Linked DNA regions of Macaca mulatta. The protein of the gene in region 1 interacts with the protein of each later gene in a pairwise test. Links are inferred from orthologs where the notes say so. Each region holds a gene or a part of one and is shown in the gene's direction. Other genes may lie near its edges.

Region 1 (4,293 bases):
AATGCCACTCCATGGGTGCTGGTCACCATCCCTCCCCCATACTCCAACCAGGGACAGGCCCTGACTGACATTTCTGGAAAACCCAGTGTGTGCAAGGTTAGGTTACCACGGTCCATACAAATGAGGAAATTAGGCTGTAGAGAGAAGTAACTTGTCTAAGGCACTGTAGTGGATACAAGTGCTCTAGCTATGCACTTACCAGCTCTATAATCTTCCCCAACCTCTCTGAGCTGAGTTTTCTCATCTATAAAACTGGGATAATGATTAAATACACTCCTAGGGTCAGTGTAAAAATTCAGTGAGTTAATTCATTTATTACGATCAGCACAATGACAGGCACATACAAGAGCCCAATAAATGTTAGGTTTTATTATTACTATTATTACCCAAAAAAGACTATCGGTTATGGTTTACTCATTGCCTCTTTCATTATAGCAAGTGGGACCCTTGTCCCTGACTGAAGACAATGACTTTGTTTCCAAATGAAAGAGCGTTAACATCCCCCAGCCAAATTTACCAGGTGGGGCATGGAGCATCAATATGGTTATGACTTCCACCATCTTTGCAGTGGGAGTAGTTTTGTCCAACCTACGATACAATTCACTTATTATTGTGCAGTGGTGATTCAGTCCTTCTTTGAATCCTTTTATTGACAGGATATCCACTCCCTCATGAAATAAGCCTATTCCCTTTTGAACACCTCTTATAATTAGGAAGTGTCTTTTCTCTGTTCCTTCTTCCTCTACCCTCCTAGCCCTTCCTTCTACTCCTCCTCCTTCCTCCTTTCTTTTTCCCTTCCCTCTTCTTCTTTCTGCCCTGCCCCTCTTTTCTTGTCCCCTCCCGGGTCCTGCCAGCTCTGAGAACATGAGGTCCTGTTCCCCACTCCCTCTGCCCCACCCAGAAGGCACTATCCAGTCACTGACCATAACCTTGTAGAGCACAGTAGGTCTTGAGTGCAGCCACTTGGACGGCTGATTGGGAACTCAGCCTCCGATGGTCCTAACAACCCTTTGGGTTTTGCAGGATCTTTGGGAAGCAAAACCTTTTACCTAGGACTTATGACTTGGCCTTCTGGTCCATTAGTATCATCCATCAGTTCACCCGATTTCCGTTAATGACCGCATCTAGAACCACAAGAAACTTGAAATGGGTTGATCTGCTGTCTTGAGGCCCAGCTGGGAGGGTATGCCAGCCAAAGAGAGGGCTGGGGCGCCCGGCGTGACGGTCGGGAGCTGAAGCACACAAGCAGCCCATAAGGTTGGGATCCTCCGCCTCCAAGTAGCGCGACTAGAGCTCTTCCACGCACCGAGCAGCCTCGGACAGCGCGGCCGCTTTAAGAGAGGGGCGGGGCCCGGGTACAGGCAAGTCAGGGCCAGCCCACAAGGCTCCTTTTCCTTTTTGATCCATTCAAAAATTACTCATTGCAAATTCCCGGACTGCTAGGCGAGGAGAGGGAAGGGGGCGGAGGAGACAGGGCTACTGCAGGCGCAGCGCTGGGGGCAGCCGGGGGCCCGAGTGGCTAAGGCTGGTCCCGCAGCGGCCGCTCGCCGGCGTTCTGGCTCCTGTGGCCTCACCAGGAAGCGTCAGAGTCTCGACACTGGGGAAGCTCGGAGCGCCGCCTCCGCCGCCGCCGCCTCCTGCCTGGCTCTGGGTCCCCGAGCCCCCTCCTCTGGCCGAGCCCGACTCCCTCCTCCTTCCCGGACCATCCGGCTCGGGCTCCTTCCCTGGCGATGGCTGGCCGCTGAGCCATGGCTCAGTACGGCCAACCCAGTCCGCTCGGCATGGCTGCGAGAGAGGAGCTGTACAGCAAAGTCACCCCCCGGAGGAACCGCCAGCAGCGCCCCGGCACCATCAAGCATGGATCGGCGCTGGACGTGCTCCTCTCCATGGGGTTCCCCAGAGCCCGCGCGTAAGTGGCCGGGCTCGCAGCCCTCGGCGACCACTCCCGCGCGCGCGGCCGGCCCTCGGCTTCGCTCCGGCTCGCCTCCCAGCGCCTGCGGGACAGGCGGCGCGCTCCCCGCTGCCCGAGACCTGTTGGGGGCAGGATGGGCGCGCTGGCAGCCCGGGACTCGCCTCCGGGCGGGGGTGCCGGGGAAGACGCGGCGCGGGGGCATTGGGCCGGGGCCTGCTGTGGGATGCCTAAAGCTGTGGGACGAGGGCGCGGGGTTCGAGTCCCGGGTACTATGCCCAGCCTCCGGGCCCCGCGGGTGGAGCTCAGCGTTTCTCTCGCGCGCTCTCCTAGGTCTCCAGCGCCGAGCGCCTAAGGAGGCGGGGCCCTGCGGAAGACTCGGGCACCCTTTCCGCCTGGAATACTGGGCTGGCCTGGGATCCTCCGGTGTCTGGGAAAGGTCGAGAGACTGCGGGGCAGGGAGGCCGGCGCCCCCGTTGCAGCGACTTCCAGCTCCGGATGTCGCTCTCGGGTTCGGTCTCCCCCTGGAGTAGGAGGAGCGGGAGCGTGGGTGTTGCTGCGTGTTCATTGATGGGGAGGATGGAATGAGAAGGAGAAGCGATCCCTCCAGAGAACCTGGGTTCTCGTCAGTGGTGACGGCAGCTCAGAAATCTGTGGGTGCCTGAGAGTAAGGAGGGGGAGCTGTTCTCCTTCATCCTTGCTCTAGGAGAGTGGGGTAGGGAAGGGCAGGGAGAGAGCAGGTGGCTGCCCCTGGAGCCTGCTGGGGAGAGGCCTCTTTGCCAGCATAGGGCGGCGGCGGCCGGAGTCGTCTTAAGCCGGTCGGCTCAAGTCTCAGGGGCTGGAACTCTGCCTAAGAGGAAGCCAAGGCCCAGCGGCCAGGCCCTTCTCCCCTGGTTAATCCCTGGCGTGCAGATTTCTTAGGTGAGGACACAAGGCCTGGGGTCCGGACTGGGCGCAGCTTCTTTTCATCTTTGAATTACATCACCTAAACAGGAGAGTTGGGCAAACTTTATCAGCAAGGGCCAAGTAAATGAAAGCGCTTTTTATTTTTTCCCTTCTCACATTTTTTTTTTTTCAGGTGATAACTTCATTTATTTATTTATTTATTTGAGATGGAGTCTCGCTGTGTCGCCAGGCTGGAGTGCAGGGGCGCGACGTCTGTAACCTCCGCCTCCCAGGTTCAAGCGATTCTCCAATCTTAGCCTCCTGAGTGGCTGGGACCACAGGTGTGTGCCACCACGCCCGGCTAATTTTTGTATTTTTAGAAGAGATGGAGTTCCGCCGTGTTGGCCAGGCTGGTCAGGCTCAGGTGATCCACCCACCTCGGCCTCCCAAAGTGCTGGGATTACAGGCGATAACTTTAGGTCTCCCCTCCCGTGTCCCTGGGCAAACCTTGTTTATTCTTTACTAACTTGGTTGTAATCTCTTAATCAAAGTAGACCCTTGAATTTGTTATTCTCCAGGCTGCTGGGACACGTTGGAGTGACCTTAGAAGGCCGTAAAATGGACTGATGGTTTCTGCCTTCCACTGACTTCCTAATACAACTTCCTAATACTAGGGCTCCAGTTCCTGATACCAGAATTACAGGGAGAAAATGTGGGTTCTGCAGGGGTGTGTCAGGTGTGGACGCTTCAGGTGAAGTCATCAGTATGGATGATCAACGTGCATAACTCTCCTTAAAAACTGGAGGTGGGGCTGGATGTAACCCTAGCACTTTGGGAGGCTGAGGCAGCCAGATCACTTGAGGACAGGAATTCGAGACCAGCCTGGCAACATGGTGAAACCCTGTCTTTACTAAAAATACAAAAATCAGCTGGGTGGGGTGGTGCATGCATGTAATCCCAGCTTCTTGGGAGGCTGAGATAAGAGAATCACTTGAGCCCGGTAGGTGGAGGTTGTAGTGAGCCAAGATCGCGCCACAGCACTCTAGCCTGGGTAACAGAGCGAGACTTCATCTCAAAAAAAAAAAAAAAAAAAAAAAAAAAAAACTGGAGGTGGGAGTGGGGAAGTCAGCTGGGGAATGCTGCAGAATTAGCAGAGTCTCAGGCTACTGCCTTTTTTGAAATGAGGCCAGCATTAAAAACCTAAATTGCTTAATTAAGGGAAGAAATACTTAACTGAACTCCTCAGACAGTCATATTTGAGATTCAAATCAGCTTTAAAGGGACATCTTTTCTCCTGCACTGAGTCCGGGAGGTCTTGCCGTGTCTTGACAGATTAGCATAAGGGTCTAATTTTGGCTTGCTCAACCCCTGAGATCTCCTAATAGCTAGCATGTATTCAATACTTATTCTATACTGTTCTAAGTACTTATATCTTTATTACCCATTTTATCCTCCTAGCAACTCAATGAGGAAGGTACCACATGCCCATTTTATGAATT
Region 2 (4,483 bases), on another chromosome or scaffold:
AGTGAGCCGAGATCATGCCACTGCACTCCAGCCTGGGTGACAGAGCAAGACTCCATCTCAAAAAAAAAAAAAAAAAAAAAAGAGAGAGATCCTCCCACCTCAGCCTCTTCAGTAGCTGGGACCACAGGCACACACCACTATGCCTGGCTTTTTTTTTTTTTTTTTTTTTTTTTTTTTTTTTAGAGACAGGGCCTCACCATGTTGCCCAGGCTGGTCTTGAACTTCTGAGCTCAAGGGATCAGCCCACCTCAGCCTCCCAAAGTGCTGGGATTACAGGTGTGAGCCACCACCACCGGCCCAGACACTTTGATTTTGCCCATTTTATGGGTAATAAGTGATTTCTCAGGGTTTTTTGTTTGTTTTGAGACTGAGTTTTGCTCTTATAGCCCAGGTTGGAGTACAGTGGTATGATCTCAGCTCACTGGAACCTCCACCTCCCGGGTTCAAGTGATCTTCCTGCCTCAGTCTCCCAAGGCACATGCCACCAAGCTCGGCTAATTTTTTGTATTTTTAGCAGAGATGGGGTTTCACCATGTTGGCCAGGCTGGTCTCAAACTCCTGACCTCAGGTGATCCACCCGCCTCGGCCTCCCAAAGCGTTGGGATTATAGGTGTGTGCCTCACCCCCTCAGTGTTGTTGACTTTACATTTCTCTTACTTTTTATTTTATTATTATTATTTTATTTTTAAGAGACTGTGTCTCACCGTGTTGCCCAGTCTGGCTTCACTCAAGCGATCCTCTGGCGGCAGTCCCTGGAGTAGCTGGGATTACAGGCATCTGCCACCAGGCTGGACTCCATTTCTCTGACTTAAAAAAAAAAAAAATTGCAGTGAAATACACACATCGATATGTACCATCTTTACCATTTTTAAGGGTAAGATTAGGTGGTGTTCGGTATGTTCACTTTGTCGTGCAACCATATTTCTCTTTTAAATAACAGCACTTAGAGATGCCAACTTCGTGCCAGGCCCAGTTTGGGACACTAGGAACTCCCAGATGAATCAGCCGCTCCAGTGGAACTCCCTGCTGGTGGGGGAGGCACTGGCGAAACGGTGCTGAGCGGAGTCCTGACGGCGCTGGAGCTGAGGGGCAGTGTGGGATGCCCCAGGAAGGTTCCTAGGAAGAGGGGACCCAGGGTGACTCCCTAAGGAAACGCCGGTCCCAGGTAGAGGAGCGCATGTGAGCCAAGATCCTTAGGACTGAGCCGTCTAGGTGTGTCCCGGGAACTGCAGGAAACGGTTGGGTGAGTCAGTGGTGGGCAGCGGGGGTGATAAGCCCTTTCGTGTTTTCGGGATGGTAAGTTTGGGTCACAGGTGAGTGAAGACCGAAGGCCAGGGGTGGACTGACACTTCGTGGTAGGCGCAGGGCAGGGCAGGGGGGCGGCTTGGGGGTGGCAGGGTTTGGGTGAGAAATGGCAGCACATGGGGAACGAACGCAGGGCTCGGGGGCCTTCAGAGCTAAGCCCCGACGCCCCTTCCCACCTGCGGGGCAGAACTGGAGACGGCAGGGGGAAAGGTGAGGGAGGGTGGTTCCTAAAGGAGATGCCATCCCTGGTCAGGGGACACGGGCCCCTGGGACTTGGGTTGGGCCACAAGGAGAGAGGCCTGAATGGCCAAAGGGAGGAGGTGTGCGGGAAGCCGCAGCGTCAGACCTCTGCCTCCTCCCTCAGATCGTGAGGCTCCCCAGCCTGGCTCGGGGGACCCCGAGATCCCCGGCCGGCGACAGCAGGCGGATCAGACCCCCTGCTCCTGTCCGCCTCTGGGTCCCTACAGACATGGGGAGGGGAGGACGGAGGCCCCAGCTCCCTGCGGGGGAGGGGCGTGAAGACGCGCGAGGTTCGGGGGAGATGAGCTGGCGTCGCCATGACAACGAGGCTGGTGGTCCGGCCCTGGGGACCCGGGAGGGAAGGAGGAGTAGTGGCCACACGCGCTGGCGGGGGCGGGGGCCCGGGTCTCCCAGGAGTACTTGGGGAACACCCGGCAATTCTGGCGGCTGCTTGCTGGTGGCGCAGGGAGCCCGCGTGTTTGCGAGTGCGTGTGCGTGCGAAGTTCTCCGGGTAAGTGTGCCAGCGCGCGCCTGGGGGTGTGCAAGGGTGTGAGCGTACACACGTGGGCACGGGCGTGTGCGCGCAGGGGTGCCCGGCTGGATGTGTGCACACGAGTGTTTTCCGGCCCGCGTGCCCCTGCGTAAGTGTGCGCGCGCGGGCACACGTGTCTGTGTGTGCGCTCGCGTGCGCTCCCGAGCGGGCCCCGGGTGGGAGTCCGAGATCCCGCCCCCTCCCCAGCCCCGGCGCCCCTCCCCGCCCCCCCCTCCCCCCCACGCTGCCGGCGCCGGCTGCATCCTCGCCTCCACCTCGCTCACCCCCTCCTCCCCGCACTTTCTCGGCGCTCCCTCCCTCTCGGCTCGCACAGCCGGACTCCGCGCTCTCCTCGCCGGCCGCCGCCGCCCAGCCTGCACCCGCCGTCCCCCCATTGCCTGGGCACCTGTTGGAGGCAGAGGCAGGTGCAGGGGGCTGGGCAGGCTGGGGGCGTGAGGGTGCTGGGGAGAGTGCCAGCCTGTGTGCGCTACGGGGGTGTTCGGCTCTCCTGCGGCTGCAATTTCTGGCTCCCCTGGGGAGCCAGGGGTGGCATCTGAGGCTGGGGTCTCCACCGGGGGCTGTGGTGAGCGAGCGGGGGAACCAGGCAGGCAGACAGGTCCTGGGGCTGAATGAAGGGACAGTGGGCAGTGGGAGCCTAGAGGGGTGGGTGACACCTTGACTAGACCAGCGCCTGGTGCAGAGGAGGACAGAGCCTCCGAGAAACAGAGGCGGGGCCCTGCAGGGTCCCTTGGGGAACAGGCAGGCTCAGGAGCAGAGCAGAGGGGAGCCCTGGAGGAGAGGAAGGAGCTGGCAAGATGATACAGGGACAACCTGGAGGTGGGTGGGTGAGGACAGGGTGGTGCAACTTCGACTTCTGCGGGGAGTGGGTTGGCAGCCCAGCCCCTGTGGAGCCAGCGTGGGGTCTGCAGGGCCCAGGCCTCCTGCCTGCCACCAACTGGCACAGGCCACCCTCTCCCTCGACACCTAGGAAGGGAGGCTAGTGAGGGCCCTGCAGACCGAGGAGGCTGTCGCCTGGCCCTCAGCCAGAGTGGCTAGGTATGATGGGCTCATTGGCTCACATGCCCTCTCCCAGCCAGGGGTGCTGCATGAGGGGCCGCAGGGGCGACCGCATGACCATCAACATCCAGGAGCACATGGCCATCAACGTGTGCCCCGGGCCGATCCGGCCCATCCGCCAGATCTCTGACTACTTCCCTCGCCGGGGACCCGGACCTGAAGGGGGCGGCGGCGGCGGCGAGGCCCCCACCCATCTGGCCCCCCTGGCTCTGGCCCCCCCTGCAGCCCTCCTTGGGGCCACCACGCCTGAGGATGGTGCGGAAGTGGACAGCTATGACTCGGATGATGCCAGTGAGTCTGGGGGCTTGGAGGCCCCATGCGCTGGTGGGGGTCTCCAGGCTTGCCATCCCGGGGGAGGGGAACGGGCCCTGCTGGCTGTGCATGTAGGTAGGGGAGGAGGGCAGTGGGGGGGGGGGGAGGTGGCAGGGATGGCTGCCACAGCTGCAGTCGGTGTGGAGATTACAGCTTCAGCAAGGCTCAATATTCAGTATTTCTGCTGAGACACTCCACCACCCACACAGCCCCAGTTGCAGCCGAGCCAGGGACCCAGACGCACACACGCACGGGCCCACTCAGCCTCTTGCACTCACACTCGCCGGCTGGCAAGAGAGAGAGAGACACACACACACAGCCAGTGCCCACCTGCTGGCCTCTCTCACACACCTGTCTCCAAACCGATCCATGCTGCCTTTCCTCTCTCTCCAGCCGCCCTGGGCATGCTGGAGTTTGACCTTCTCTATGACCGGGCCTCCTGCACTCTGCATTGTAGCATCCTCAGGGCCAAGGTGGGCACTCCCTGCTGCCCCAGCCCGGGCGGTTTGCGTGCAGCCCCCAGAGGGGGCCCATTCCTCCTTCCCTTCCCAGGCCTGCTCCTTCCTCCTGCCCTTGCAACCCCCTTCTGGGCTCCTCCAGGGTCCAGCTCTACAAGAGGGAGAAAGGTGCCGGGAGCCTCCAGCCCTCTCCCCTGCCCTCCTCTCCAGGGCCTCAAGCCCATGGATTTCAATGGCCTCGCCGACCCCTACGTCAAGCTGCACCTGCTGCCTGGAGCCTGTAAGGTAACAGCCTCCTCTCGCCCTGCTCGGCCCAGCCCGTGCCTCCGGCCCGTGGGGCTGGAGGACAGGTATTGAGAACCTTTCATCCCCACACCCCAGGCTAATAAGCTAAAAACGAAGACTCAGAGGAACACACTGAATCCCGTGTGGAATGAGGACCTGACGTACAGTGGGATCACGGATGATGACATCACGCACAAGGTGCTCAGGTGAGGGCTCCCCTCCCCACCACCCAGGTCCAGCAGCAGCTCAGGGACAGCTGACATTGTAACTGCTG

The links.
Region 2: the proteins of UBASH3B (region 1) and DOC2A interact in binary tests that used the Homo sapiens proteins (3 or more experiments, as listed by UniProt). The link is inferred for Macaca mulatta from reciprocal best matches to the Homo sapiens genes UBASH3B and DOC2A.

The regions. Positions count from the first base shown.
Region 1 is NC_133419.1:123,272,517-123,276,809, forward strand, and holds the start of UBASH3B (ubiquitin-associated and SH3 domain-containing protein B), read left to right. Parts: upstream 1-1,422; 5' UTR 1,423-1,748; coding exon 1,749-1,909; intron 1,910-4,293. UniProt on the Homo sapiens protein: Interferes with CBL-mediated down-regulation and degradation of receptor-type tyrosine kinases. Promotes accumulation of activated target receptors, such as T-cell receptors and EGFR, on the cell surface.
Region 2 is NC_133425.1:28,559,356-28,563,838, forward strand, and holds the start of DOC2A (double C2-like domain-containing protein alpha), read left to right. Parts: upstream 1-1,667; 5' UTR 1,668-1,862; coding exon 1,863-2,056; intron 2,057-2,373; exon of another isoform or gene 2,374-2,411; coding exon 2,412-2,502; exon of another isoform or gene 2,503-2,660; intron 2,661-2,800; exon of another isoform or gene 2,801-2,914; intron 2,915-3,170; coding exon of another isoform or gene 3,171-3,174; coding exon 3,175-3,445; intron 3,446-3,859; coding exon 3,860-3,939; intron 3,940-4,134; coding exon 4,135-4,209; intron 4,210-4,305; coding exon 4,306-4,415; intron 4,416-4,483. UniProt on the Homo sapiens protein: Calcium sensor which most probably regulates fusion of vesicles with membranes. Binds calcium and phospholipids. May be involved in calcium dependent neurotransmitter release through the interaction with UNC13A.